7 linked regions of the Sus scrofa genome follow. The protein of the gene in region 4 interacts with the protein of the main gene of each other region in a biochemical or structural test. Links are inferred from orthologs where the notes say so. Each region holds a gene or a part of one and is shown on either strand. Other genes may lie near its edges.

What was found.
Region 1: the proteins of UBC (region 4) and MINDY1 form a complex in vitro, tested with the Homo sapiens proteins (5 studies listed by BioGRID, with this or other methods). The link is inferred for Sus scrofa from reciprocal best matches to the Homo sapiens genes UBC and MINDY1.
Region 2: the proteins of UBC (region 4) and TMEM160 form a complex in vitro, tested with the Homo sapiens proteins (2 studies listed by BioGRID). The link is inferred for Sus scrofa from reciprocal best matches to the Homo sapiens genes UBC and TMEM160.
Region 3: the proteins of UBC (region 4) and USP16 form a complex in vitro, tested with the Homo sapiens proteins (8 studies listed by BioGRID, with this or other methods). The link is inferred for Sus scrofa from reciprocal best matches to the Homo sapiens genes UBC and USP16.
Region 5: the proteins of UBC (region 4) and RNF138 form a complex in vitro, tested with the Homo sapiens proteins (3 studies listed by BioGRID). The link is inferred for Sus scrofa from reciprocal best matches to the Homo sapiens genes UBC and RNF138.
Region 6: of the proteins of UBC (region 4) and OTUB2, one has a biochemical effect on the other in vitro, tested with the Homo sapiens proteins (5 studies listed by BioGRID, with this or other methods). The link is inferred for Sus scrofa from reciprocal best matches to the Homo sapiens genes UBC and OTUB2.
Region 7: the proteins of UBC (region 4) and UBE2R2 form a complex in vitro, tested with the Homo sapiens proteins (3 studies listed by BioGRID, with this or other methods). The link is inferred for Sus scrofa from reciprocal best matches to the Homo sapiens genes UBC and UBE2R2.

What each region holds. Positions count from the first base shown.
Region 1 is NC_010446.5:98,217,290-98,221,836, forward strand, and holds the start of MINDY1 (ubiquitin carboxyl-terminal hydrolase MINDY-1), read left to right. Parts: upstream 1-1,326; 5' UTR 1,327-2,053; intron 2,054-4,547. UniProt on the Homo sapiens protein: Hydrolase that can specifically remove 'Lys-48'-linked conjugated ubiquitin from proteins. Has exodeubiquitinase activity and has a preference for long polyubiquitin chains. May play a regulatory role at the level of protein turnover.
Region 2 is NC_010448.4:52,874,029-52,878,772, forward strand, and holds TMEM160 (transmembrane protein 160), read right to left. Parts: upstream 3,234-4,744; 5' UTR 3,126-3,233; coding exon 2,918-3,125; intron 1,792-2,917; coding exon 1,699-1,791; intron 1,143-1,698; coding exon 877-1,142; 3' UTR 795-876; downstream 1-794. Other genes in the region: NPAS1 (neuronal PAS domain-containing protein 1), read left to right, coding at 135-598.
Region 3 is NC_010455.5:192,375,576-192,380,181, forward strand, and holds the start of USP16 (ubiquitin carboxyl-terminal hydrolase 16), read left to right. Parts: upstream 1-1,306; 5' UTR 1,307-1,425; coding exon of another isoform or gene 1,426-1,444; intron 1,445-1,603; exon of another isoform or gene 1,604-4,606. UniProt on the Homo sapiens protein: Specifically deubiquitinates 'Lys-120' of histone H2A (H2AK119Ub), a specific tag for epigenetic transcriptional repression, thereby acting as a coactivator.
Region 4 is NC_010456.5:28,258,963-28,261,760, forward strand, and holds the end of UBC (polyubiquitin-C), read left to right. Parts: coding exon 1-1,740; 3' UTR 1,741-1,809; downstream 1,810-2,798.
Region 5 is NC_010448.4:115,925,385-115,930,130, forward strand, and holds the start of RNF138 (E3 ubiquitin-protein ligase RNF138), read left to right. Parts: upstream 1-1,636; 5' UTR 1,637-1,660; intron 1,661-1,773; exon of another isoform or gene 1,774-1,797; intron 1,798-1,824; exon of another isoform or gene 1,825-1,950; intron 1,951-2,273; 5' UTR 2,274-2,346; coding exon 2,347-2,456; intron 2,457-4,746. UniProt on the Homo sapiens protein: E3 ubiquitin-protein ligase involved in DNA damage response by promoting DNA resection and homologous recombination.
Region 6 is NC_010449.5:115,321,436-115,324,398, reverse strand, and holds part of OTUB2 (ubiquitin thioesterase OTUB2), read right to left. Parts: intron 2,820-2,963; coding exon 2,735-2,819; intron 2,177-2,734; coding exon 1,982-2,176; intron 1,093-1,981; coding exon 886-1,092; 3' UTR 1-885. UniProt on the Homo sapiens protein: Hydrolase that can remove conjugated ubiquitin from proteins in vitro and may therefore play an important regulatory role at the level of protein turnover by preventing degradation.
Region 7 is NC_010452.4:33,011,575-33,016,328, reverse strand, and holds the start of UBE2R2 (ubiquitin-conjugating enzyme E2 R2), read left to right. Parts: upstream 1-1,855; 5' UTR 1,856-2,463; coding exon 2,464-2,640; intron 2,641-4,754. UniProt on the Homo sapiens protein: E2 ubiquitin-conjugating enzyme that accepts ubiquitin from an E1 ubiquitin-activating protein, and catalyzes its covalent attachment to other proteins by an E3 ubiquitin-protein ligase complex.

The sequences.
Region 1 (4,547 bases), on a different chromosome or scaffold from region 4:
AATATGAAAACATCGTAATAATCTTTGGCCTCTCTTCTTAATTCCTACAGCCTCTTGCCAACTCCAGTTGCTGCCATTACAACTCTATAGCCTCTTTTTTTCTATAGCGTCAGCAAATTCTCTTTCTTTTTCCGGACTGTTGTAACTTGGGTTTCTGCTCACCTGCCTCCCTAATTGTTCCAAATGCCCCTGCAGCCTTCAGAGTTGTTTGAAGTTTCATCCTGGAGCAGCCATGTAAGTAGAGCTTGGGGGAACCTTTCAGAATGTAGAGTTGGGTTCCAACCACATTTAACTACCACCTTCCAGCCCCAGGGTAGTGCAGAATACTGCAGAAAATGTGCTTTTTTTTTTTTTTTTTTGTCTTTTTGCCTTTTCTAGGGCCGCTTCCTGTGGCATATGGAAGTTCCCAGGCTAGGGGTCTAATCGGAGCTGTAGTCGCCGGCCTACGCCAGAGCCACAGCAACATGGGATCTGAGCCTTGTCTGTGACCTACACCACAGCTTAACCCACTGATCAAGGCCAGGGATCGAACCCGCAACCTCATGATTCCTAGTCGGATTCGTTAACCACTGTGCCACAATGGGAACTCCGTGATAAATGTACTCTTTTCATCAAATGTTCCCTCATTTATTAATGAATCCCTTTGTTTCCTACCACCAACCTCACACCAGTTTTTCCTGCTCCCCAAGCTCGGAATTGAGAGGAGGTGATAGATGAGAAGCTGAGGCCTGTGGTGGGAACAAGGACCGGAGCAGAGGGATATTGAAGCTCCTGCTTGCTCAGCTAGTTTTCTCCCTGCTTCACTCTTCCCAGAGCCTGGGGCTTCTTACACACCCTCTCTGCACTACCAGGGGCATAGCCCAACTGGTTTCTAGACTAAAAAAGTGAGCAAATACGTGTATGTGTTACTGGGTCACCTTGCTGTGCAGCAGAAAATTGACAGAACACTGTAAATCAGCTATAATGGAAAAAATAAAAATCATTATTAACTATAAAAAAAAAAAGTGAGGGAGTTTCTGTTGCGGTGCGGCGGAAACGAATCCGACTAGGGACCATGAGGTTGCGGGTTCGATCCCTGGCCTTGCTCCGTGGGTTAAGGATCCTGGCATTGCCGTAGGCTGTGGTGTAGGTGGCAGATGCAGCTCAGATCCTTTGTTGCTGATCTGATTAGATCCCAGCCTGGGAACTTCCATGTGCCGCAGGTGCGGCCCTAAAAAACAAAAAACAAACAAAAAAGAGATATAGTAAGGATTTTGAAAGGATAAGGATTTTTCACTTTAAATGAGTAATTATGCTAATATCACGCTGTCTGGCCTGCCTCTGTGGATCCAGAGCAAAGGACTTTTGTACCTAGAGAGAAAGCCCAGATCCAACAAGCTGCTGCTGTCCGGCCCTGCTCCTCCTCCCCACTCAGCAAGGGCCCTTGCTTTTCCCTCTTCTCACCAGAGAGGCACAAGCGCTCCGTCCCTTCCAGCGGCAGGCGGAGGGAGGAGAAAGGGTCTGTTGTTTTTCTCTCCTGTTTCTCTCTCTCTCACTGCTGATCACCAAGCTGCTGACCAGGTCAGAAAGCCCTAATGGAAATCCTCCAGTGCTGGCCTGGCTCCTCCTCCTCCCAGAAGCTTGTCCTTGACTGATTTTTCTTTGTCCCGACGGGAAAGAGAGAGAGAGAGAGAGAGAAAGAAGAAAAAAGAAAACCCACAAACTTCCTTTGAAAACCAGCTCGCTAGACTGGGCCTGGAGCGCACGCCCTAGACTCGGCGACTCAGAAATCCTGGAGACGCTCTGAGCGACCTGGGAGTACCTGGGCTGCACTCCTGCCGGTCTCCACCCTCTTCCAGTGCCCCCGGCCGGCCGTGGGCGTGAGTCCGGAAGTGGCCACCATCCGGCCAAGACTGCTGCGCACAAACCCGTGTAAACCTGTGCGAGCTCTGGCTTTGACAGCTGGAAGGCAGCTGGGAGTGTGGTGGCGCCCCTCACTGCACCCACCTGCCCCATCGTATTGCCAGAGCTGCACCCTCCTTCTGTGTCCTGGAACAGCACCCACTTCTTTAAGGTAAAAACTTTGAACCATTTCCTTCACCTCTTCTCCTAATCCCCAGTCCTCTGTTTCCTCTTTAGCCCTGGGGAGGTGACACTGACTGTTCTTCCACGTTGGGTCTCTACACGTTTAGATTTTGAGAGGCGTTCAGGCAGAAGGAATATGTAAAAGACGCTGCTTGGGTCCCTGTATTTCTTCCTTTTAATGACACCTTCCCCCTCTCCCTTGCTAGCACGTAGACAAGGCACCGTCGTTGACTTAACTCTGAGGAGAACTTCTAAACCATTAGTTCTGTGACGATTTGCATCAGAGCGAGAAAGAGATTAGAGGGGGACAGTAAAGCACTTGAGGGGAGAGTAAAGTTCCTAGGGAGTGCGGGTGGGGGGCGTCTTGTGGAAGCTGGGTACCAGTTGTATATGCTTCTTCCAACTTTTGGCTACTTACTGCCGCTGGCTAGGGGTGGGTCTGGGCTGCTTTACCTCTCACTCACCACCAGAGGATAATTCCAGCTGGAGAAAATGTGTTGGATTTAAGAGGAAAAAGAAAGAGAAATCCTGATTTGTTTGAGTACCTGTGCTCCCTCATTCTCTCCTGCTCTGAAGGAGCACCAGGCAGGTACCTTGAAGAGGAGAAATTCTCCATCACGCTTCCTGCCTCTATTCTGAAGACTTAGCCCATCCAACTTTGCCCAGTTTCTCTGAGACCCAGCTTCCTCCGGTGTCCAGCTCCTGGGTTCTTTTGGTTTACCTGTCTGGCCAGCTAGCTGCCCAGCCCCCACTTAATTATTGATCTTTTCTTTTCTTCCCTGTTTTTCTCTAAGCTTTAAAAAAAGTGTTCCCAGGCTCTTGTTTCTGCTTCCCAGGCTCATCCTAAGTGTCATTTGGGAAAGGAGGAAAAAGAAGACAGAGAGAGAAAAAAAAAAGTGTCAGGCCTGCAGGCAATTTTTGCTATACTCTGATTCTTCTAAATTAACAACATGTAAATGAGATGCAGATAGCATAAATTATATTTGAATCAGGAGGATGATCAATTTGGGTGACTAGGCTTATTTTGGTGACTTTTATATTCTTCAGCTTCACTTCCCAGGCTTTACCCTAGCCCTAAATTCCTGCCAGATTGCAAGGGATTGCAAGAGGAAGCATAGTCTCAGGTTAGGAGGAAGCAAGAGAAAAGATTTCTAGCAAGTTTAATTTCTCCCTTTTTCTCACCCAATCAAGGGGGAAAGGGGAGCAAGGAAGTTGCAGGGAGATATTTTCCAGGGGGCAGGGCTTTGTGGCCTTTTATCATTTACTATCCATGGTGTTAATGAAATGTCTATGCTTAGTGCTGGTAAAGAGCAGGTTAAACAGGTCCAAGGGCTGACATCTAAAATGACCCAGATGGAGTTCCCGTCGTGGCGCAGTGGTTAACGAATCCGACTAGGAACCATGAGGTTGCGGGTTCGGTCCCTGCCCTTGCTCAGTGGGTTACCGATCCGGCGGCATTGCCGTGAGCTGTGGTGTAGGTTGCAGACGCGACTCAGATCCTGCGTTGCTGTGGCTCTGGCGTAGGCCGGTGGCTACAGCTCCAATTGGACCCCTAGCCTGGGAACCTCCATATGCCGCGGGAGCGGCCCAAGAAATAGCGAAAAAGACAAAAAATAAAAAAAATAAAAAAAATAAAAAATAAAAAAATAAAATGACCCAGATGATTGAATTCCTGTCGTGGCACAGTGGAAACGAATCCAACTAGGAACCATGAGGTTGCAGGTTCGATCCCTGCCTTGCTCAGTGGGTTAATCATCTGGAGTTGCTGTGAGATGTTGTGTAGGTCACAGACGCGGCTCGGATCCCGCATTGCTGTGAGCTGTTGTATAGGCTGGCAGCTGTAGCTCTGATTCAACCCCTAGCCTGGGAACTTCCATATGCTGTGGGTGTGGCCCTAAAAAGAAAAACAAACAAACAAAAAAACAAAAAACAAGATCTAGATGGGAATAGACAGAAAGAACATACACACAGGTAGATGAGTGCAGAGGGAGTATATATGTATATATATATATATATATTTTTTTTTTTTTAACCTAAATCAGTAATCAGCATTTTCATATTCTATGTAGTGGGCGAACTACTCGTGAGTCTAGCAGTTTAGGGGGCAAACAAGTTGCTGTCCCAACTCCAGCTGTCAAGGGAGACATACTGGAAGAATTGTGGGGTGTTTTTCATGCCTCTAATCTGAAGTTACTTATCAGAACCAATCTCTGATTCAAGTCCCCTTGGCCTACACTTCCCCTCTCCAGCCTACAGGAAGCCCCTCCCAGAATCTTTTTTGTTGTGGCTTGAGATTGTGTAAACTTCAGTGGAGGTCCTTTGAGGAGAAAGACTTCTTTCTCACCAGCGTTTCTCCTTTACGGGGCATGATACTAACTCTTCATTCTTCACCCCCAGCACTATATGACTGCTTATCTTTTTGCCTTTGGGATGAGGCAGAGAGAAGGTGGCCCTAAAGATAACAAGCCTGGGTGTTCAGGTTG
Region 2 (4,744 bases), on a different chromosome or scaffold from region 4:
AGGGGACAAAACCACCCCAGCAGCGACCCTGGGGTCTAGACCACTGAGCACAGCTCCATTCCACCAACTGGAAGACCAAGGACCAGGGCTGTGCCCACACGCGGTGGCGCCCCCTCAGCATCTTCCTCTTGCAGAGCCGGAGCCTCCAGTGGAAGGAAAGCAGGCCGCCCCCCGGGAGGAGGAGGAGGCCCCCCAGCCCCGGGGCAAAGCCATCAAAATGGAGCCCAGCCCCCAGGAGCCTGAAGACCGGGAGGACAGTGGGGATGAGGAGCCCTCGGGCCACCTGGCCCCTCCCAGGCCCGAGTTCACGTCTGTCATCCGGGCAGGGGCCCTGAAGCAGGACCTGGTGGGGCCCTGGAGCCTGACGCCTCCTGGAGACCCCCCACCTTCCCTCCTGCACACGGGCTTCCTGCCGCCCGTCATGCGGGGCCTGTGCGCCCCGGGCACCATCCGCTACGGCCCGGCCGAGCTGGGCCTCGTGTACCCGCACCTGCAGAGGCTGGGTCCCGGCCCCGCGCTCCCCGAGGCCTTCTACCCCGCCCTGGGCCTGCCCTATCCCGGGCCGCTGGGCACCAGGGTGCAGCGCAAGGGGGACTGAAGCCTGGAAAAGGCGCCTGCACAGCCGGACCTGCGGGCAGGTGAGGACCCCAAGGGGGCCAGGCTCTCCGCCCCTGTGAATTAAACGCCGGCGGTGCCCCCGCGGCTCCTCTCTCTCTTCCCGACTTCTCTGCACGGGCCCCCGCCCCTCCCCGCTCAGCATCCCCGCCGCAGCAACCACCACGCCGAAGCCGCAGTCAGCGAAGGGTCAGGTTTTAATGTCCCGGTCCTCGGGCCCGGGCTGTCCAGCGCCCCGGCCGTCCCCCGCAGCCTTGCAGCTCACTCCGGTGGCGGCCGTCCCGCCTCATCGGGCCCTTCGGCCGCGGCTGTTCCGTCATCCTCGGGCACGAGTTCCACGTCCAGCTCGAGCTGGCCCATGTAGAGGCCGACGGCACAAGCCCACAGCAGGCCGGCGGCCAGCACGGCGCCCACTCCCGCGGCCGCGCCCCCCAGGGACAGCTGCATGGGTCCCCGCAGCGCCGCCAGGCCCACCACGTAGGAGGCACCGCCCCACACCACGCACAGGCCGCCCAGCAGGAAGAAGCCTGTGGGACAGAGCAGGGTGGGGTCAGGGAGCGGATCCTGGGGACTTAGAAGGGTCAGGGGATGGAGGTGGCCTTAGAAAGGGTATGGGTGCCCTGGAGGGCAGGGGAGGGGGCAGGGAGTGTACAGAGCCAAGGTCCGGATGTGAGAAGGAAGCAGAGGGTGTGTCTAGGACTTGGAGGGGGGTCCAGGATCAGAGGGTGGGGGCGCTGGTCTGAGCAAAGATAAGGGGCAGGACCAGGCCGAGAGTGGGGCTGCCTGAGGGCCAGACCTGCATTTTTGTCCACAAGTCAGGTGGAAAAGGGTGAGCATCCACAGCCCTGCCCTGAGCCACCCCCTCAGGTGGGTCCAGTGCCAATGAGGCAGGGATGGGGTGGGTAGAAGGTGGATGCTCACCAGTGAGGCCGAGGCCACTTTTGGTGGGGGAAGAATGAGGGGTTCTAGCCACAGTTGGGGGGGGTGAGTCTACCCCCATGGAGTGGGGTCTGCATTCCCTAGCTGAGGTGGGGGGGGGAGGCGTCTACACTCTCTGGTGGGAGAGCAGGGGTATGTACTCACCATAAGCAGCTTCACGCCCCATATCACTCTGCATGAAAGAGATGACCCCGATGCCCGATGCCAGGAGGCCATTGCGGAACCAGGAAAGGAAGGCTGCGGGGCGGGGGGGGGGGGGGGGAATGGGAGGAAATCAGCAAGGGCCCACACCCTGCCCCTGCCCCTCCCTGACCAACCAGACAGAGGGGCTCCTCTTCATCCCACCGACCCGACCCCAAATCCCCACCTCTTCCTGACAGCCCCCAATCTAAGAACCCCCAAAACCCTCACTGAGCCCCTCTCCCACCCAACTTGGCAACATCAAAGATTCAAGACAGTCTGCAGAATCTGGAGGGGGATCTAGGACCAAAACTGCAGAACCTAAATCTGGGGACGGGAAGATTCCAAGAGGTCAGCTTGGTCAATGTCTCCCTCACATCCCCATGGCCACCCCCTCACTTCCTTCTCAAACCTTCACACCAACCGTTACCCCTCCCCGCTCCCCCAGGCCTCTCTCCAGCCTCCCCGCTCAGTTTACTAAATCCACGCTGCTATCAGGTGTGCTCTTCCTGGAGGTAATTCACATCCACTCAAGTCCCTGGTGTGGCACTAATCGGGGCTAGTCGGGTTACAGCCATCCCCACCGCTACACCTGTCCACGATCTCTAAAGCCCATCCTCTCCAACCCGGACCCCTCCACCCCCACCCAGCACCCTGCCAAATGAGGCCCCACCCCCTGCAGCCAGGAGCACCATGCCCTCCAATCAGCTCAGAGCTGCTCTTCTATTGGGTGTTCCCTCTTCCAACCCAGAACTTGCCCTCTCTTCTGTGGGGATCCACGCTCCCGCCTTATGCAGAGTGGTCGCCTCTTTAATCCGAACTGGCCTCTCCAACGAGGCCCCCCTCTTGTAGGCAACTCCCTCGCCCCTAGCCCTCTTTGAAAGCCTCCGCCATCCGGACAGGGCCGTTTGATAAGGCTGCCTGTCCTGGCCCGACAAAGCTCTCCAGTCCCTACTGAACCTCATTAACCAGACCCGCGGTCGCATCTGCAAGCCCTTCTATGCGGACAGTCTGCGCTCTTGCAGCCAGCGCTTCCCTGCTCTTACACGGAAGCCGTTCCTCCTCCTGAGCCTCTCCCTGGGCCAGGTTTCCAGCAGGGTCCCACCACCATCCGCTAGCGCGCGCGGGCAGCTCAGCTATTCGGAACCCCTACTCCCATCCGAGGCCGACCCCATCCCCAGACCTGTCTCATGAGCCTTCCGAAGGAGCCAGGCATCTGCGCGATCCAGCTCGGACACCGGGGGCGGCGAAGCCCCAGAGCGGGGGCCGTGGCCAGGGGCAAAGGACCCCCGGGCGCCCCCGCTCCGGGGCCGCGGAGGCGGCAGCAGCGCCCCCCGGAAGCGGAGTCGGGCTAGGCGGGCAGCCCGAGCCCACCACCAGCCACCTCCCATGGTTCGCACTACGGCCGCCGCGCACCGCACCGCCCATGGGCTGCCGGTAGGCTGAAGCTCACGTCACTCGAGCTTAGCGGCCTATCTATTGATTATACGCGTGCCACTCAGGCCCGGTACGCACTGCCCATTGGTCAAAATGGCGCTGATCCCGCCTCTGTCATTGTGCCGGTACTGCGCGGCCCACCTTGTTGTTGGAACTGGACTTCAAATCCCAGCGTTCATTGTGCTTGGGGAAGGCGGGTCTTCTGAAGTCGGAGGCGCGATGTCTGCCGGTACTTGTAGTCTTTGCTAAGTAACTTTAATTCTTGGGGCCAAGAAACCAAAACCAAACAATACTTGTGATGCTTAATGTAGAACCTTTGCAAAATCTCGAAGAGCCCAGAAGAGAAAGTAAAACTCAGCATTAATCCCACCAATGAGTGGTTACTGCTAATATTTTTTTTTTTTTTTTTTTTTTTTTTTTGCCAAGCCCCTGGGCATGCACAACTTCCCAGGGATCCAACCCGGGCCACAGCAATGAGAACGCAGGAGCCTCAACCCACTGAGCCACACCAGGGGATTCTGTCTTTTATCGAAAGAGATGTAAAACGTTTGTTATATGAAAAAAATTAATTTGTCAATCACTAATCAATCATGAACATTGACCTGTAGCACTGAATACTTTGCAACGGCATATTTTTTTTTTCTTTTTAGGGCCGCACCCGGGGCATATGGACGTTCCCAGGCTAGGGATGGAATGGGAGCTGCAGCCGCCGGCCCACGTCACAGCTACAGCCACAGCCACGCGGGATCCCAGCCGCGTCTGGGAACTACACCAGAGCTCACGGCAATGCCGGATCCTTAACCCACTGAGCGAAGCCAGGGCTCGAACCTGCAACCTCATGGTTCCTAGTCTGATTCATTTCCAAAGAGCTACGATAGGAACTCCAGCATATTTTTATCTATTATTTATTATTATTTTGTCTTTGCTAGGGCGGTACCCGTGGCATATGCAGGTTCCCAGGCTAGGGGTCTAATCGAAGCTGTTGCCTACGCCAGAGCCACAGCAACGCCAGATCTGAGTCGCGTCTGTGACCCACATCAGAGCTCACAGCAATGCCTTAACCCACTGAGAGAGGCCAGGGATGAACACGGAACCTCATGGTTCCTAGTCAGATTCATTAACCACTGCGTCACGACGGGAACTCCAGCATAATTTTTTTTTTTAATATTATTTAAGAGTTCCCCTTGTGGCTCATAAGTTAATGAACCCAACTAGTATCTATGAGGACGTGGGTTCGATCCCTGGACTCACTCAATGGGTTAAGGATCTGGCATTGCTGTGAGCCGTGGTGTAGGGTCACAGATGTGGCTAGGATCCTGCATTACTGTGGCTGTGGTGTAGGCCAGCAGCTGCAGCTCTGATTGGACCCCTAGCCTGGGAACCTCCATATGCCACGGGTGTGGCCCTAAAAAGACTATATATACATATATATGTATGTGTATATATATATATATGTATGAATATTTTTTTGAACACAGTACAAGATGCAAAAGTTACAAAGTAAAAAAAAAGTTACAAAATCATCTAATGATAAGTAATACACATCCCATTTCCCAAGCCAATCCCTACCCCC
Region 3 (4,606 bases), on a different chromosome or scaffold from region 4:
AGATCAAAGGGGAACAGCATTCTAGGAAAGGGAAGCAGGTGGTACAATGGCTCCAAATCTGCTTTTTGTTTTGTTTTTTCTTTTTATAGCTAAACTTGTGACATATGGAAGTTCTCAGGCTAGGGGTCAAAGTGGAGCTGCAGCTGCCAGCCTACGCCCCAGCTACACCAGATCCAAGCTACATCTGCAACCCACGTCTCAGCTTGCAGCAATGGCAGATCCTTAACCCACTGAGCGAGGCCAGGGATGGAACCTGCATCCTTATGGATATGAGTAGGGTTGGTGACCCACTAAGCCACAATGGGAACTTCTCATACCATGTTCTTTTATTTATTTTATTGAAAAAAATTTTTTTGGCTGCACCCATGGCATATGGAAATTCCTGGTCCAGAAATTGAATCCTTGCTGTAGTGGTAACGTGAGCCACAGCAGTGACAACATGGTATCCTTAACCCACTGAGCCACACAGGAACTCCCATATCATTTTCTATTATTGTGAATTATCTGTTTATAACCGTGGCCTACTTTTCTACTGGAATCTGCATCCTTTTTCCCCTAAAGATTATTGTGTCTTCTGCATAAGACAAGGCCTAAGTTAATTTAAGTTGCTCTGCAGAAGGCTTGGCACTTAGCTATTTCGAACAAATAAACAGTAATTATTTATAAATTTTACCCTCCGTCAGCAAAGTTACTTCAAGACCATTTATTTAAATACTCAACTTTAGAAACTGATTGGAAAGAACTATGGAAACTGCGTGAAATTTAAATGCCGCCCCCCCATCACATCTTCAGATGTGATATGTTTGAGTAAGGTAACAATCCATGAGACTCCAAACTTCCGGCCACATACCCATACTTTTAGAATTTTTTTTTTTTTTTTGTCTTTTTGCTATTTCTTTGGGCAGCTCCCGCGGCATATGGAGGTTCCCAGGCTAGGGGTTGAATCGGAGCTGTAGCCACCGGCCTACGCCAGAGTCACAGCAACGCAGGATCTGAGCCGCGTCTGCAACCTACACCACAGCTCACGGCAACGCCGGATCGTTAACCCACAGAGCAAGGGCAGGGGCCGAACCCGCAACCTCATGGTTCCTAGTCGGATTCATTAACCACTGCGCCACGACGGGAACTCCTAGAATTATTTAGATAACCTCAGAGACTGACTGCCGAGCGGGGAAAACTGATTGACAGTTAGACTTCCGGGTGAGGAGGCGTCCAGACTTCCGGGCGTGAGCCTCGCGCAGGCGCTGATTAAGCAGCGTCAGTGCCGCTGGATCCTGGGGCCAAAGCCACTTCCCATGATGCTGCGTACCGGAAGTTGTTGCTTTCTAGGGGTCACGCTGGCTTCGGCTCTGTCGCTCTCAATTCGTCACCAGGAGGAAGACGCAGCTGGTTGCCCAGCCCAAAGGCCCATTAGGGGATGCAGTTATGGGCTCTGTCGCCGTGGGTGAGTTCTGCCCCATAACCTCGCAGTCACCATTCGCCGGGAGCCTGAATTTCCTGCCCCGACTTCCTTCTCTTCTCGAAGGCCCTTCTTCCATAATCACGTTACCTGGCCTTGGCCCGGTACCGTGTTCTCATTGGCCTCATGTCCTGTCACTTCCAGGAGCTGGCCAATGAGTTGTCGGTGCTGGAGCCCTTCTCGACCCCGTGGACCCCGAGGTTCCCCCGTGGGTATGGAGCAGTTGGAAGGGAAGGGGAGGTGTGGCGGGTGCCGCGAGGCTAGGGGCATCCTACGGGTTGGGGCTGGGTTTGCTGCCCCGACCGTGTGGTGTTTAGTGGAAGGCAAGATCTGTCACCTAACTGATCCACTGCTCCCAGGGTAGGACAAATTATGCAAACTTGAAAGCCATGTTTTAGTCCTGCTGGCAAAAATTTACAAACGCTTGCATTTTTGTAATGGAACGGAGCAAAAGCTTGGGAAGACTAGGAGGGTGGAGAGGGAAGGGAACTGGATTAATGTGAAAGTCGCCAAGACCAGCTTTGATTAAATTTTGTGTGGAGTCCTGCACAGAGTAATTTGGCTAAGAAGGTAATGCTCATATAAAGACTCACCTGAAAACTTTAATAGATTTATTGATATTCAGGCTTATGGAACTGACAGTCCTCTCTTTTCACAACTCATTAGATGCCCTTTGTAGTTGTCAAAACTTTCCTGGAGCTCTTTACACATCATTGAAGCGAACCCCCTACTGTCTTCTGCCTGCAGCAATTACAGTTCGTCTTTCAAGTTTTCCTTTGGCGTCTGTGGTACTGCTGTCTTCAAAGCAGATTTATTAGTGCTGTCTTCTGTACTGCAGATTTCTTCATTCTTTACCTTTTTCTTTTTCATCGGAACTTGTGTGCTTCATTCTTACGTACCTACTTTTGCACCTTATAATCATCCTTTATGCCTCCAGGTACTATTCTCTTTTTCTATTTCTATGTAAGAAGTATTTCTTGACCAAATATATACTAACACTATGCTAGATGCTGTAGTCAATTCAGAAGTAACGCCTAATACCATTTCTTTCTCCTAGAATTTGTTTTTTTTTTCTCCTAGAACTTTAGATTCCAGATAGAGAAATAACACACGTTCAAGTTAAAGATTAAAGAAGCAGCTCACTTTTGTATCTGATTAAGGTAAAGGATGCATAGTGCACACTATACATGCCTGGGAAGTTCAGTTGAGAGGTTCTTTAGAATGGCTTACCTAAGGCTCCACTGAAATGGAAATCTTGGAAGACTGGGAAAATTTGGATGGACAGAGAGAACTTCTAGCTAGGGATTAAAGGCAGAGAGGTGGGGCCAAGGTGTTTTGTAGTGGAGAATATCAAAAAGACTGGCTTGATTCTGTCTTGGAACCAAAAGATCTGCATTTCATTTCCATCTCTACCATCCTATGAGCTTTCTTTCTTTTTTTTTTTTTTTAATTTATTTTTCCACTTATAGCATGGGGGCGAAGTTACACTTACATGTATACATTTTTTTTCCACCCTTTGTTCTGTTGCAATGTAAGTATCTAGACATAGTTCTCAATGCTACTCAGCAGGATCTCATTGTAAATCCATTCCAAGTTGTATCGGATTACCCCAAGCTCCCCATCCCTCCCACTCCCTCCCTCTCCCCCAGGCGGCCACAAGTCAGTTCTTCCCTGTGAGCTTTCATTATTTTGTTTTGAGTTTCCTTCTTTAGTGAAGTGCTCCGTTTACAGGATTTTGTGAAAATTAAAGGAGATAATGTTTATGAAAAGACTCTGAAGATCAGAAGCACTGTATAATTAAACTTTAGTGGTTCTTTGTTGAGAAGTAATGAGAGTCAGGGTTAGCAGAACATTGGGGACAATTTGTAAGGGACCATGAGTGCATAGCACAGGAGGGTGTGCTGAAAATCTGTACTTTGAATAAAGTATGATGAAAATGGAGGTGAAAACTTGAGTGCTATTTTTTCCTCTTAAAATCTACAACTCTAGATAAGATAAATCATGTTAAATTTTATTTTAGGGAGAGACAAGTACATGAAATATACTCTCATTTTATATATACCTAAAATATAAAAATATAGCAAAAGATTGTTGCTGTGGCTGTGGTGTAGGCTGGTGCTACAGCTCCAGTTCGACCCCTAGTTCTGTATGCAGTGGGTGCAGCCCTAAAAAAAAAAAAAAAAAAAAAGACAAAAAAAATATAGCACAAATACTGTTCTTTTGCTAGTGGTTAATTCATTTACTTTGTAAACTTGAAACCTTGTTTCATTTTATATTATCTTTGAAAAGGTTAACAATTATTTGATTTGGCATTCATTTTTCATGCACACCTTTGGAATTACCTTTAATTACACTAACCCATTAATAGCTAAAGGAGGGATACATCTAAGACTCTAAGCCAGGGAAGGATGACAGCTAAGTATCAGAATTAATTGGGAAGTATTTTTGAGAACACATGTCCCAGTTCCTACTTTCCTTTTATGCCATTAGAATTTTGAAAAGCATTCTAGGTAAAATTATTATAGTCATTTAAGCAATTTTTATGCTGTTTTTCTAATGTATTTAAAATGTAACTTTTCAAAATCTCTAATATTTAAAGTTTGCTAGGAGTTCCCTTTGTGGCTCAGCAGTAACAAACCTGACTAGTATCCATGAGGATGCAGGTTCAATCCCTGGCCCTACGCAGTGGGTACAGGATCTGGTGTTGCCGTGAGCTGCAGTGTAGGTTGAAGATGCGGCTCAGATGTGGCGTTGCTGTGGCTCTGGTGTAGACCGGCAGCTGCAGGTCCTATTTGACCCCTAGCCTCCTGGGAACTTCATATGCCACAGGTGTGGCCCTAAAAAATAATAATAAAGCTAGATGGACTTATATGTACTTTCAATGTTTTTCATGTTTTTAAATTTTGAATTGTTGACCAAAGAGGTGAAGATTTGATATGAACTAGATTTGTCATAGTCTTCCAAACTGATTTTGGCAAGAATAATAATGTAAATGGTTGAGAATGTAGATGTAATCAATTTTCAGCTAACATCCATAGCAAGTCCTGGTGTGGAAAAATGCAACACTGCGTATCACAGTGTTTTATATGTGGCTTTGAAGTTATTTTGTAAATTTTCTAACTCCTTCTCAGAGATTGTTCTCAGAAT
Region 4 (2,798 bases):
CAGGACAAGGAAGGCATCCCCCCAGACCAGCAGAGGCTGATCTTTGCCGGGAAGCAGCTGGAAGATGGGCGCACCCTGTCTGACTACAACATCCAGAAGGAGTCCACCCTGCACCTGGTCCTCCGCCTCAGAGGTGGGATGCAGATCTTTGTGAAGACCTTGACTGGTAAGACCATCACCCTGGAAGTGGAGCCCAGCGACACCATCGAGAACGTCAAGGCGAAGATCCAGGACAAGGAAGGCATCCCCCCAGACCAGCAGAGGCTGATCTTTGCCGGGAAGCAGCTGGAAGATGGGCGCACCCTGTCTGACTACAACATCCAGAAGGAGTCCACCCTGCACCTGGTCCTCCGCCTCAGAGGTGGGATGCAGATCTTCGTGAAGACCTTGACTGGTAAGACCATCACCCTGGAAGTGGAGCCCAGCGACACCATCGAGAACGTCAAGGCGAAGATCCAGGACAAGGAAGGCATCCCCCCAGACCAGCAGAGGCTGATCTTTGCCGGGAAGCAGCTGGAAGATGGGCGCACCCTGTCTGACTACAACATCCAGAAGGAGTCCACCCTGCACCTGGTCCTCCGCCTCAGAGGTGGGATGCAGATCTTCGTGAAGACCTTGACTGGTAAGACCATCACCCTGGAAGTGGAGCCCAGCGACACCATCGAGAACGTCAAGGCGAAGATCCAAGACAAGGAAGGCATCCCCCCAGACCAGCAGAGGCTGATCTTTGCCGGGAAGCAGCTGGAAGATGGGCGCACCCTGTCTGACTACAACATCCAGAAGGAGTCCACCCTGCACCTGGTCCTCCGCCTCAGAGGTGGGATGCAGATCTTCGTGAAGACCTTGACTGGTAAGACCATCACCCTGGAAGTGGAGCCCAGCGACACCATCGAGAACGTCAAGGCGAAGATCCAGGACAAGGAAGGCATCCCCCCAGACCAGCAGAGGCTGATCTTTGCCGGGAAGCAGCTGGAAGATGGGCGCACCCTGTCTGACTACAACATCCAGAAGGAGTCCACCCTGCACCTGGTCCTCCGCCTCAGAGGTGGGATGCAGATCTTCGTGAAGACCTTGACTGGTAAGACCATCACCCTGGAAGTGGAGCCCAGCGACACCATCGAGAACGTCAAGGCGAAGATCCAAGACAAGGAAGGCATCCCCCCAGACCAGCAGAGGCTGATCTTTGCCGGGAAGCAGCTGGAAGATGGGCGCACCCTGTCTGACTACAACATCCAGAAGGAGTCCACCCTGCACCTGGTCCTCCGCCTCAGAGGTGGGATGCAGATCTTCGTGAAGACCTTGACTGGTAAGACCATCACCCTGGAAGTGGAGCCCAGCGACACCATCGAGAATGTCAAGGCGAAGATCCAAGACAAGGAAGGCATCCCCCCAGACCAGCAGAGGCTGATCTTTGCCGGGAAGCAGCTGGAAGATGGGCGCACCCTGTCTGACTACAACATCCAGAAGGAGTCCACCCTGCACCTGGTCCTCCGCCTCAGAGGTGGGATGCAGATCTTCGTGAAGACCTTGACTGGTAAGACCATCACCCTGGAAGTGGAGCCCAGCGACACCATCGAGAATGTCAAGGCGAAGATCCAAGACAAGGAAGGCATCCCCCCAGACCAGCAGAGGCTGATCTTTGCCGGGAAGCAGCTGGAAGATGGGCGCACCCTGTCTGACTACAACATCCAGAAGGAGTCCACCCTGCACTTGGTCCTGCGCTTGAGGGGAGGTTTCTAAGTTCTCCCTTTTAAGCTTTCAACAAATTTCATTGCACTTTTCTTTCAATAAAGTTGTTGCATTCCAAAATAGTGTGATTTATTTTTAAGTGTCTAAGGAGGATTTTTTTTTTTAGGTCGGGTTGGGTATAAGAGATCAAGTGTTTTCAGTCTGCTACATAATCTGTGGTAAACAGGAGGTAAGAAATGTCAGTAAAAGATGGTTTTAATGTAGAACTGTAGTGGGTGAGTATAAATAAAACCCAGACTAGTAAGAGGTTGCAGAATTATTCATATGTACTCTTCTATGTAGATTTACTTGTAAATACTGGATGTAGTATCTGAGAAGGGGAAGTTTCTGCAGTACCAGCCAGGAGAAAGAATCAAAAAGAGGGTGGGAGTGATGGGAACCTATGGAAGAATCAGGGTTAGTATGTAAATCTATTTAAATTCACTTTGAACTGTCTGGAAAGTCATTTGACCATTTTTGAAAGAAAGGCTCTGGCATTTGTTATTAGAAAAGTCTCATTAGGCATTACATTAGAAAGTTTTAAGTATTAGTAGAGAAGATTATTGGCTCTTAACTGTTGCTGAAATTGTCAAGATTCTTTTATTATGACTGGATGAGGATTTGTTATAAATAAAGTGATGGCCAGTGAAGCAAATGGCTGTTGGTCTTACACAGTAGTGACTTTACCTAATGACTTGGTCAGTGTTTTTGTCATAACTAGAACCAAAGAGAAGCTAGTTTAATAGAAGGAATTAGCTCTCAGTGGCCTGCAATTAGAGGCTCATTAAAGAACTTGAAATAATGGGAGTTCCCGTCGTGGCGCAGTGGTTAACGAATCTGACTAGGAACCATGAGGTTGCAGGTTCGGTCCCTGCCCTTGCTCAGTGGCTTAAGGATCCGGCGTTGCCGTGAGCTGTGGTGTAGGTTGCAGACGTGGCTCAGATCCTGCGTTGCTGTGGCTCTGGTGTAGGCTGGTGGCTACGGCTCCAATTAGACCCCTAGCCTGGGAACCTCCATGTGCCACGGGAACGGCCCAAGAGATAGCAAAAAGCCAAAAAAAAATAAAAAAG
Region 5 (4,746 bases), on a different chromosome or scaffold from region 4:
AAAGGGGGAAAAATACAAAATATTTTAGTTTGGTTTTGGAGGGAACTTGCTATTTATTGGACAAATAATTCAGTATTATCCTAGGAAATGTCTTTTTAAGGTGGACATCAGGATCCATTTCCCACTTTCCTGTAGAGCAGAAATTGACAGAACATTGTAAGTCGACTATAACAAAAACAAAGTCCAATTCCTCCATAAGGTTTCTCTAAGTCCATACAAATCCAATCGCTCTTCTTCCTTTCCTCATTATAGTCACTGTCAATGAAAAATGTAGTATTTTACTAAATACGATTTTTTTGTCCTTTCGTTTTTATAGACATCCAAGAGTCTAAATGAATTCAGAGTAAAGTTCATGACACCTGCATAATATCTAACATAATGCCAAGGACAACGTAGACAATAAAGGACAGAATTGAATTAACTAGGCGTTTCAATGGCTTCTACTGATGATTCATTTAGTCCTCAGTGGAAAGTTTTAACAAATTATGGTAATGAAAACTTTTTCTTTTCAGAAGAGATATGAGGATGATTTATGATGTTCCATTTCTTTAGCTCCGTTCATAAGGTTGTGACCTCATCTTACAGACTTATCATCTGTATGTATCTGGAAATTAAGGACCCATTAAGAAATTTAAATTAGCGAATAACGGTGAAATGCCTAGATCCATACTTCTACTTAATTTTTCTTCAAAGCTGTAAACAAAAACCAAAAAACAAAGATGTTAGTGGAAAACCGCATCTACGACTGTAACCTGTCAGGCACACTGTATTAAAGGCAAAAGTTGAAACCCTCTCAAAGGGGGCTTATTTTAAAATTTTTCCTTTCTAGGAGTTCCCTCATGGCGTAGTGGGTTAACGAATCCGACTAGGAACCATGAGGTTGTGGGTTCGATCCCTGGCCTTGATCAGTGGGTTAAGGATCTAGCTTTGCCGAGGTGTGGTGTAGATTGCAGACGCTGCTCGGATCCCGCGTTGCTGTGACTCTGGTGTAGGCCGGTGGCAACAGCTCCGATTAGACCCCTAGCCTGGGAACCTCCATATGCGCCGGGAGAGGCCCTAAAAAAGGCAAAAAGATTTTTTAAAAAATTCTCCTTTCTAAAGGATTAAAATCCTATAACGGATTTTAAATAACCCAACCTGACATGATCAAAACATTCTGGCAACAGAAAACAGTAAGGACCAGATCTTTAACATAAGATATTTTTTCAGGGAAAAATCCTGAAAAACCCAATATATTTGATAGGCGTTGTGAGAAATAGGATCCCTCCAGTGGGGAGGCTGGGGGTACAGGTGAGCATCCTGCTGTTTATGTCGCAAGCTGCCTCAGGGGGCACGCGGCGGTTGCTATGGAGGCCGCCCCCCCCCCAGTCCCCGCGCTCGCTGCTCCCTTCTGTTCGGTGACCTGCTGGGCAGGCTGCAGGCAGCGCGATGCCGCGGGAGAGTTGCTGGAGGGGGCGGTGGGACCCCGGTACACCATGAGCCTCGGGCCCGGCCCCGTGTCGGGCCGATGAGCGCTGCGCACTCCCCCGCCACTCCCCTCCCGGCCTCGGCTGCGAAAAAGGCAGCGGCTGGACAAAAAGCCCGAGGACGCCGCCGGGTTTCCCTACCAACACTCGCTAGGGAACCTGCATCACCAGCCGCCAGACTGCGGGGCTCTTAAGTACGGACTCTTAAGTGAGCGTCCACTCAATCTGAACGCAGGGGCGGGAGGGGAGGGGGCGGGGCGGGGCCGGGCCGGGCGGGGGAGGGGACGGGGGCTGGCTAGGACGGGGGCGGGGCGGGGCGCCGCTGAAAAGGGTAGGTAACCTGGTGAGGAGCAGGCGGCTGCGCGGGCGGGGGGCGGGGGGCTCGGGGTGGGGGTGGGGAAAAGGAACTGAGAAGTCAGGGAAAGGGAGGCCGGACGCGCAGAAGAGGGCTGAGGGCGGAGTCGCAGCTACGGCGTGGAGACAGGTAACGGAGTGGCCTGAGGGGGGCGGGGGAATGGCCGCGGGCTGGGGACGCCCTTCCCGGGCGAGAGGGGCGGCTCCTGGCTCCGGTGGAAGCAGCCGTGAGGCCGGCCAATCGCCGGCCTCTCATCTGCGGCCTCTTACCCGGCGCGCGTTCCCGGCCTGCCCCTGAGCCAGGAGCGGCCCTGGGCTCGACCCTCGCCTGGCGCGTGCGGCCATAGGGTCTCGGCGTTCGGCCCCGCCCTGTCTCGACCCCGCCTCGGCCCGCCCCCTTCCTGACTCGAGACGCTTCCTGACGCGATTCCCCGCCCCCTCTGGGTCGCGCAGGGAGTCGGGCCCCGGGCCGCCACCGCCACCTCGGCCGCTGCCGCCGCCATCGCTTTCATCCCCATCCCCCGCCATGGCCGAGGAGCTCTCTGCGGCCACGTCCTACACCGAAGATGATTTCTACTGCCCTGTCTGTCAGGAGGTGCTCAAAACGCCCGTGCGGACCGCGGCCTGTCAGCACGTGTGAGTAGACGGCCCCTCCCCCGCGCCGAACCGGGTGGTCGTTTAGGCCCCGCATCCAGCCCCGGACCCTGGGCTGCGGCCTGGCGGGACGCGAGCCCGCAGGCGGCCTCCCGGAGTGCCGCTAGGCGCTGAGGGCCCGTTCCCAGCCAGTCGGAGCCCCGGGCCGCCCTCCCTCTGAACTCGCGGCCCGGTGCCTGCGCCCGGCCCCTCCGCCCGAGCTCGCGGGCCCCAGGGCTCCTCCGTCCTCGCGCCCCCGGGGCAGTGCCCAGGCCGGTCCCCGTGGCGTTTTCGGGCCCCGAGGCCCCTCTCCTCTCCGGCAGCCCCGGGAAGGGGTGCAGGGAACAGGGAGCCTTTTTGTTTCCTAGCAACCTGAGTGAAGGCTGGGGTGTCGAGTGTCAAAACCCGCTGGATGTGCCCGCACAGCCCGCTTCGCGACCGGCCCCGCTTTCAAGTTTCACTTTTCAAGAACCTTGGCCCATTCTTTTCTGATCCATGAGGTCTCATCTAACTTAACCTCTCGGCCCTGCTTCACAGACCACCCTTGAATGTGTTTCAATGCGTTCACCATTCAGTACTAGTTGGAATGAGCTAGAATGGGTTTGCCTCCTTCATTTGTTAGAACTCACAGGATTTCCGGGTATTGGAGTGATAGTTTTCCTTTGTTTTACTCCTCTGCTTATTACTTGGTTACTACAAAGGTGAAGACGGCTGTTGTGAGGAATGAACTGAAATTAATGCAGTAACCCCAGAGGTGATGGGAACACAAAGGGATTCAGTAAGGTGGCCTGGTGCTGTTCGATTTGGCACATTTATAGAACTTTGATAATTTTATAGACTACTAGGATGTCAGTAAGGGTTGGAAAGAGCCCATCTTGTAAAGGTATATAGCACTTCTGACAAACCTGGCTGCTGATTGGAGTCCCTGGGGAACTTTTTAAGTAAACATACCAATTCCCAGGCTCCATTCCAAACTTATAAAAGAATTTCTGGCGGGTGAGGCCTGGAAATCTCTGTCTGAAAATATACACTCAGGCTTGAAAGTTCTGTGTGTATTCATATAGCTGAAAAGAATCGAACAAGTTTCTAAAATTGGTTTCTCCTTTGACTTTATGAGGGGAGCGGTAGATTATCTAACTTTGTAAAGAATGGATTTCTTTTGTTTTTTCGTTTTTGTTTTTTAGGGTCACACCTGCAGCATATGCAAGTTCCCAGGCTAGGGGTCAAATCAGAGCTGCACCTGCAGGCCTAGCCACAGCCACAGCCATGTGGAATCCCAGCCGCGTCTGCCATCTGCTCCATAGCTCACGGCAACGCCAGATCCTTAACTCACTGAGTGAAGCCAGGAATTGAACCTGCATCGTCATAGATAGTAGTCAGGTTTGTTACCAGCTGAGCCACAATAGCAACTCCAAGAATGGGTTGTTGAATTTGAGGTTCTTAAGCATGGATTTCCATACAGTTGTTTCTTTTTTTTTTTTTCTGCTTTTTAGGGCCAAACCCACAGCATATGGAGGTTCCCAGGCAAGGGGTCCAATCGGAGCTACAGCTACATGCCTAGGCCACAGCCACAGCCACATCAGATCTGAGCCGTATCTGCAGTCTGCACCACAGCTCACGGCAATGTCAGATCCTTAACCCACTGAGCGAGGCCAGGGATCGAACCCAAAACCTCTTGGTTCCTAGTTGGACTTGTTTCTGCTGCGCCATGATGGGAATTCCAAGAGTATGTGACTTTTCATGATAGAAGTTATTACCAGTTACATTTTTGCTGCTTGTGAAAGACAAATTACAATTTGGAATTTATATATCATTTGGTGCAACAAATGCAGACTGTTAGAAAAATATTTTGAGATATTTATATATACGTATATTTATATACACACATTTTTTGGTCTTTAATCTGTCAGTGTTCATTATTATAACTTGATGGTTTTTCTGTGCTTGGGCTGTCAGTGGGTTAAAGAAAGGAAGAGAAGGAGGGCAAAGTGAGGAAGTAGGTCTTTTCTGGACAGCATCATTTCAATGATCCTTTGGGTCATTGACCTCATAGAACTCATTGTAATCTCCAGTTCCCCTCAAAATTCCATGCTCTTTGCTCTAGTTCATTTCCCTTTTGAGACATTTTATTAAATGAGATTGTGGCTTAGCTTGACCTCAAGGCTATGGAGAAGACAGTGGAGATGATTATTGAGGGCTTTTCTCAAGTCCATCTCCTTGGGCTATGATATGGAAGTGAAACATGGAGTAGATTTTGTTAAGAGGAATGGACACTTACTACTCACTTTCCCCC
Region 6 (2,963 bases), on a different chromosome or scaffold from region 4:
CCACCTAACCTCTCAGCAGCCCATAAACCAGACAGGGGGAAAGGGGAAGGAAGCCAGTGGTAGCCTCAAAAGACGTCTGCTCTGCTCAGCTGGGGCCTGCGGCTGCCGGTGCCGGTCCATGTCTCCACCTGCCCGAGTGTCTCAAGTCTCCATCCAGGATGTGCTGGGGTTGACGAGGCAGCTTCTTGGTCCCAGACCCTAGTCTTTCTCAAGCCTCTGTCCAGGTGGGACGGCCCTGGCCTTGAGGGAGGTAGAGGCTTCATGCAGACGGCTACAGGCTCCTTTCTAGACTCTGGCATAAAAGCCTCTTATTTCTCAAGTGAGGGGGAAGAAAACACTCCATTGTGAACGGCTGGGAGTACACCGAAGCCCTCGTACTCAAGTTAGCTTCAGCGCTCCATCCACCGAAGTCCAGTCCAAGAGCCGCTTGAGTTGACTTTTTTTATAGAACTGGTTACGTCACTTAAGACAGCTGACCTTGAGCTTTTCCTCCCAGAAGAGGGAGGCGCTGCCCCTCGTGAAAAGAAACCAGAGGACCCCATTTTTATCCAACAGGATGTCAACAGTGGCAGGAACCTCCTCAAAAGGGCCCAGAGAGGGGAGGTGTCCTACGCAAGGTCTCAGGGGACTGAGAGTAGAGCCAGGAGTTCTGGCTTCCTACCCCAGGGTTAGAAAATATTTGTTCCTCCTTGAAAATAAATATTAAAAATATCACCAAGTTACCAACAGTCCATAGGGAGTAGGCCTTATTCCCAGTGATGTTGACCCAAAGGCTGCACATTTTTAACTACAGTCTAAATCGCTTAAAAAATTGCAAAGCCATGATGTTCCATTCAGAATGCAGTCCCATTAGGTGACAGGCTCCACTGCATGGCCCAAAATTAATCAACGTTTATCGGCTGCGTAAAGGATGTTGTAGTGGGATGTTTTATAGAGCAGGTAAACGGAAGGGATGGCGGCCTCGGGGAACACGTGGTGGTTCAGGGCCGTGTCCATTTCGTCCACATACTCCACCTGCAAGGCAATGTTCAGTGCCTGGGACAGGGCTGTGATCTGGATGTGGTCACACTCCATGGCCATGGGCTCCACTTCCTGCAGAGGCCAAAACGAAAGAAAAACCCAGTTGAGGAGGGAAGCCTGGCAGAGGGCAAGTGAAAAGTCCAACCCTGGCTTTTATGGTCCTAGGTCAAAACCTCTGCGCTGGGAAATAAAATCCACAACCACCCATGAGGCAGATGTTGACACCTGCATTTTTCAGAGGAGGAGACCCAGGCTCAGTGAGGAGGTAACAAATAGCCAGAATTGCAAGGCTCGAATCTTGATCTTTTTTTGATTCTCAACCCCTAGTTCTGTGTGAAAAGAGACACGCTGAGGAATCTGGAAAGAGGAGCAAGAGTTTCAGCTCTGGCTTCCTAACGCACATAATCAGAGAATCCTGGCACAGGGAGGGACTCTGTCACAAGGGGATCTCAAGCTTCCGTGCCTACAGAGAGCTAGCGAGTGAGTCAGTGGAGAGACAGACGGCTGCGAGCTGGCTGGCGTGTCGCAGGAGCTAGGGCACTTGCCACTTAGATCCTGCTGACTGTGGTCATACAAGAAAAGGCCTGGGGAGCTAGATCGATGTTTCCAGAGAAATCCAAACATTCATACAAAAATGGCCCAGTGTTTAAGTGTTGGCCACTCTTTCAGGTAAATACCGTACATCATAAAACAAAACACGTCTTAGGGCAAATGTGACTCTGCGGTTGCTTCTCTGCAGTTTTGTGAACAGTTCAGTCCAAAACCCTTACTTCTCAGATGGGGAAGCTTGACACCCAGAGAGGGAAAGTGACTTGCCCAGAGCCCCACTCCGGGAGGATCTTTTGGGCTTGCTAATCTAGTGCTCTCTGCATGGCGGTGTAGGCTTGACACCCAAGTCCCCTGGTTAGGGAGTGCTGGTGCTGAAGTCTCCTAAGGAGAGAGGGCTGGGCCCAGGACCTACGTGAGTGCAGAAGTCTCTGATGTCCATCTCCTCGTCGATGAAGTGTCGGAAGAAGTCCGCGCGGTTCCTGATGAAGGCTGAGGTGAGCAGGCGCAGGAACTGCACGATTCGGTCCGAGGAGCTCTGGTCGTTGAACACCTTCAGCAGGCTGGACACGGAGCCGTCCTTCTCCACCAGCTCCACCACGCTGTAAAACTGCACCCCGGCCACCATCAGCCCGGGGACAGGCCCCGCCCCTCCCTCCCTGCATTTCTGGCTTTAGATCCTCAGGTTAAAGCACCCAAATCAATCAGAGATCCCACCAGAGCCAAGCAACAGGGTTAGGGACACTTTGTAATGAGTCCCTTACCCGGAGGCCCATCTGAGGATGCCGTTGGAGGCTCCCTCAAGGCCGAGGCTGGCGCTTCTGTACAGATGAGAGGTGAGTCCTCCGGCTCCTCGCTTCACAGCGGGGCCAGGGGAGTGGGGTGGAGAGGGGGTGGGCGGAGTGAGGCCGGGAGGAGCTTCCAGCCCGAGAGCTACTTCCCCAAAGCAGGTGCCTCTTCCCAGAGGGAGGCCAGGGCCCTGGGACCCCTGTCCCCTTGATGTCCCCACGTGCAGGAAGAACCTCCAGTCCTTCCCAGCTGGGAGGAACAAGAGAGGCACAACCACAGGCCATGGGCCATGAGAGGACTCCAGCCAGTGCCAGCTCCTGTCTACTCTGCCAGTGAGGAAGGCCCTGGTCCCTCAGCCATTGTGTCCAGCTTAACTCACAGCATTAAAGAAGTTCTGGAACTTGTGCTCCTCAAAGCCAGCAGCCAGAAGGTCGTTTGGGGTCTGCAGGACACGCTCTTTAAACCTGAAAGGGGAAGACATGCTCACGGGAATGAGGTGGGGGGACTGCTGCGACCTGCGTGACCAGTGACTGTCATCCACTCTCAGCCCCCCAGCCCCCACCCACACACCTGAGAGGGTGCATGTCACAAACAGGTGAAGGACTTTT
Region 7 (4,754 bases), on a different chromosome or scaffold from region 4:
TTCTAAAGAGTACAATACAGAAAGGTAAAAAGGGTAACTTTACAGTGGAGGAACTTGGTATCTTGCCTCAGCCAGGTGATCCAGGTCAATATCAACATTAAGTCATGTTAATATTATAGTCTCCTGATATGATGAAAATATCATTTTATCCCTGTGATCTTCTCCCCCAAACCCCAAAATTCTAGTTTAATCATGAGAAAAACATCAAAACTATAATTGAGAGCCATTCTACTACTTGACTAGTACTCTTCAATACTTTTATGGTCATCTAAAACAAGGAGAGTCTGAGAAACTGTCATAGTCAAGAGGAGCCTAAGGAAACACAAAAACTAAATATAGTATGGTGTCTAGGAGGAATCCTGAAACAGAAATGGGCATTAAATAAAAACTAAGGAAATGTGAGTAAAGACCTCAGTTAATAATAAAATTATCAATGCTGGTTCACTAATTGTAATAAGTACTACACTAATGTAAGATGTTAATAATAGGATAAATTGGTTGCCAGGTATATGGGAACTCTTTGTACTATCTTCTCCATTTTTCTATAAATCCAAAACTTTTTTTTAAGCCTACTAAAAAATTGAGATGTATCCAAACATAGCTGTGCCTTAAAATTTTTTTTTCTTTAAAGTCCTATTTATGGATAATTTACCATGTGCTAGTCATTGTGCTAAATTCTGTACATAGATGATCTTGTTTAATCACTACAATTGTTTATATGTTAGGTATAATTAACTCTCTTTTACGGAAGGAAATGAACAAGGAAGAGGTAATATAATGAAAATGGTGGAGCTAGGGTTGGAACCAAGGATCTTTCTGATCCCCAAATTCTAACTATGTGGAACTCACAGTATCCTGGCCTTTCTAGGAAGTATTCAGGCAGTATCATAGGACATGCCTTCCTAAGAGAAAGCGGTATTCTAAACCATGGGGACTGAAGACTGTCTTCATACCTCACTTCAGTTATGATTGTCTTGAAAGTTCTCCAGTTCTAGATTGGACTTTCAAGCTGAAAGGATCTGTAGGGAGGTCAAAGTTCAACCAAATACATCGTTTTACAAATGGGTAAACTGGGGGATAGCCAGAGCACTTGCCTCAAATCACACAGAAAAGGGCCAGAAACCCAGGTTCTGTCTGTATTATTATTTCTCTATTTCCTACAATTTCTTCATTGTAGTTAAGAAGGGAAGTAGAAACTGGCCTATCTGCCTTCTTCATTTCTCCAATAGGAAACTGCCCCCCAACTCCCTATGCGGGTGACACAGCTTTCTCAAGGATACAATGGCATGAGAACTGGATATGCAGAAGAGATGTCGGGACGCTTGTTCCCACCAATAAGACCCACATTATCAGCACATCCTTGTCAAGCATCTACTGAGTGCAGGGAGAGCAGACTGTGTCACTGGAAGGAAGCGGGAGGGAAGATGGATCAGGGCTCCTATAAGGAGCGGTGCAGAGGCCTGTGGATACACCGAGGGGAAGGAGAGCGAAAGCAGTTTTAGGATCAGAGGTCCCTTCCGGGGCGCGCCTTGACACCATGGCGTCAAGCCACACAACTGTCATTTTGGGGCCAGGGGCAATCTCCTGCGGCCACCCTCGGCCCGCACGAACGCTTGGCCCTTTAAGGGTGGGGGACACGCGCCAGCGTCACAAAGCGCCGCCACCACGCGGGGCAGCGGAGAGGAGGCGCCCAAGTGGGAGAAAGAGGAGGAGGAGGAGGAGGAGGAGGGTGAGGGTGAGGAGGGCGGGGGAGGGAGGGGCGCGCGCACGCGCGTCGGGCCACCCTCCGCCCCAGGCCGCCCTCCCTCCCGACGCGCGCCCCTCCTCCCTCTCTCTCTCTCTCCCTCCCTCCCTCCTTCTTCTCGACTCCGTCGCTCCCGCGGCGCGAGGCGCTCTCGCTCTTCTCCTCCTCCTCCTCCGCCGTCGCCCCTCCCCCCGCGCAGCCGCCGCCGCTGCCGCCGCCGCCGCCGCCGCCGCTGCGAGACCCCCGCGTGCCGCCCTCCTCCCGCCCTTCGGCTCCGCGCGCCCTTCGGCCCCGCGGCCCCCGAGGAGAACGAGAGGGCGAGCGAGCGCGGCGCTCCCGGGCCGGCTCGGCCGCGTACTCTCACCATCGCCGGCCCTCCGCCGCCTTCCTCCAATTCCACCTCCTCTCCCCCCCCCCCAAGTTGAGGCCCCCTCCGGGGGGGGGAGGCCCGGGACCAGGAGCGAATTTCTCCAACTCTCTCCACCCCTCCCCCACACGGCCTGAGTGCGAGGAGAAGGGCTCGGCCCGGCCCGCGTCGTGTGAAGAGGAACCGGGCTGGCCCACGGGCCGTCTGGGGCCTGGTCCGGGCCGCCGGGTGTGTGAAGACCGGGGCCCGTTGCGGCCCGGCCGAGGGCGAGCGCAGGGGAGGGGCCTGGTCCGGCCCGGCCGGTGCGTGAGGACTGGGGCCCCGGCCCGGCGCCGCCGCCGCCGCCGCCGCGATGGCCCAGCAGCAGATGACTAGTTCGCAGAAGGCCCTGATGCTTGAGCTGAAATCCCTGCAGGAGGAACCGGTGGAGGGCTTCCGGATCACCCTGGTGGATGAGTCCGACCTCTACAACTGGGAGGTTGCCATCTTCGGACCCCCTAACACCCTCTACGAAGGCGGCTACTTCAAGGTACCCCCAGCCCCTCTCCAACCTGGCTTCCTCGGGCGGAGGCCGCCGCTTTCCGCTCTTTTCCCGGCCAAGAGTGGCAGCGCGGGTGAGCGGAGGGGGCTCCTCACGTCGGCAGCCCCCTCCCCCATCCGTGGAGGCAGGAAGGCCTCGCTGGCTCTCCAAGTGCCTTTTCTTTGTCATGGGGGCGGGGGCGGGGGCGGGAGGCCAGACTGCACCGGGAAATAGGAAAGTCTCTGTGGCTAGGGTAGTGGCTACCCGAGGAGGAGGAGGAGGAGAGCGGTCTTTGTTTTGTTTCCCCAGCTGAGGGTGTGCGGGAAGAAAGGTGGTCTGTCTTTCCCCTCTCGTCCTCCCATCGGGACCATCTCTGCGCCGGCTGGAACTACCCCAGAGGGCAGAGTGACCTGCACTTATGGGATTGGACCTTTCTTTTGGGGTGGGGGTGGGGGTGGGGGAAGGGTATCGGTCTGTCATTCCAGAGGCTGCCTGGTGCCCTGACATTTTGGGGATTTGCTGGGCTTCTTGAATAGTGGTGGTTCCAACTTCGCATTCCAGTGGGCGGTCATGAAGAATAGGACCCTAGCGCTGGTAAACAAGGTTGCCTGCTTTTTCTAGCCATTACCTACTTTAGAGAACTTGAATCTAGCCCCTTTTCTGTCCTCATTTTCTATTTACTTCAGCCGTGTGTCAAAATGCCCTTTGTCCTCACCCTGCTACCAACTCTACTGACTCCCTCCCTCCCCCGGCCCCACATGTAGAAACACCCACAGAGGGCGGAACAGGTGATGTAGGGGGATTGGTTCCCACCTTAGTGAGACAAAATTGAAACCTTTTGCTCAGGTGGTTAACTGGCAAATGGAGGGTGATTTCACGGATGAAAAGTATCACCTGCGGTGGGATGGTGTCACAGAGTAGGACGACTCCTTAGCGACCGTAGACATTGTTTCTATTTTTTCACGATTTTAGAGCAGTGGTTATTATTCCTGAATCCAGTATTTTTTTTTTTTTTATTCCACGGTAGATAACTTAGAGGTATTGGGGATTTTTAATTTTTGTTTTTACCATTTTTGAAGAGGCAAATCACAGATTGAAAGTTGAATATTTTAAATGGTAGAGGTACAGAGACAGAAGAAATGAGTGCTTAGGAATTCGTTTAATTTTTTATTTCTAAAATTAAGTCAAATAGGACTATGAGTCAGTCTTAGTTTGTTTTGAAGGGAGGGGCTATCTTGGCAAAAGTTTTAAATGAGTATCTTAGTCATGTAGTATGTGTATTTTTAAGGACTACCTAATTTAGTTTCTACTCTTTTTAAAAGTAGAAGCCTTACTTTCAGGCTTGAAATTGGGTCTATTTTGTAGAAAATGTGAAGAATTGATAGGGGAATGTTTAATATTCATGTTTGTGAATAACCAGATACCTGGTTAAAGGCACGTATTTAGTATTTAGAATATTGTGTATACCCACTACATGCTTAATGTTTTGTGGTCACCATATACTGTACTTTTCAGATGCAGATACTTGCAATATGTACTGACTGGCCTTAGAGAAATGAAGTTTAATTTCCAAAAAGTATCGTTGTTTGGGACAATCCATAGTCAAGGTAAAAGGATACTAGCTAGAATGATCTTACTCCAGTGCAATTTGTTAAAAACAACAACAAACTGTATGTGAAGGAAACACACTGGGTTACAAATTGTAATGTTTTTGCTTAAGTAATTGGGAAAGGAATGTGGTGAACCCTTTCAGTTTGGAATAGGTAGTATGGAAGGAAGATTCGGTGTAGCATACACTGATTTAAATGCTTTTTAATTTCAGTCCTATTTAAAAGGAATGGTTTAATCTCCAGTTTGTTTTTTTTTTTTTCCTTTGTGACATGTAAAAAAAAAGTATGGAAATTCATAAACAGGTTTTGCGTTTTAGTCTCATGTGAGAATTTTGTTTTTTTCTGCTTTTTCCCCTTATTATATGGCTTTTTGTACCAAAGTTCTTTGTTGGAAAAAGGCAAATTTATGGTTCTGTGCAGTTAACACTAGTAATAGGTTTAAAACCATTGTTTTTTATTTCACTGCTTTTGTCCTAAAACAAGGCTTTTAGTGTGTTCCACTACAGCTGCAGT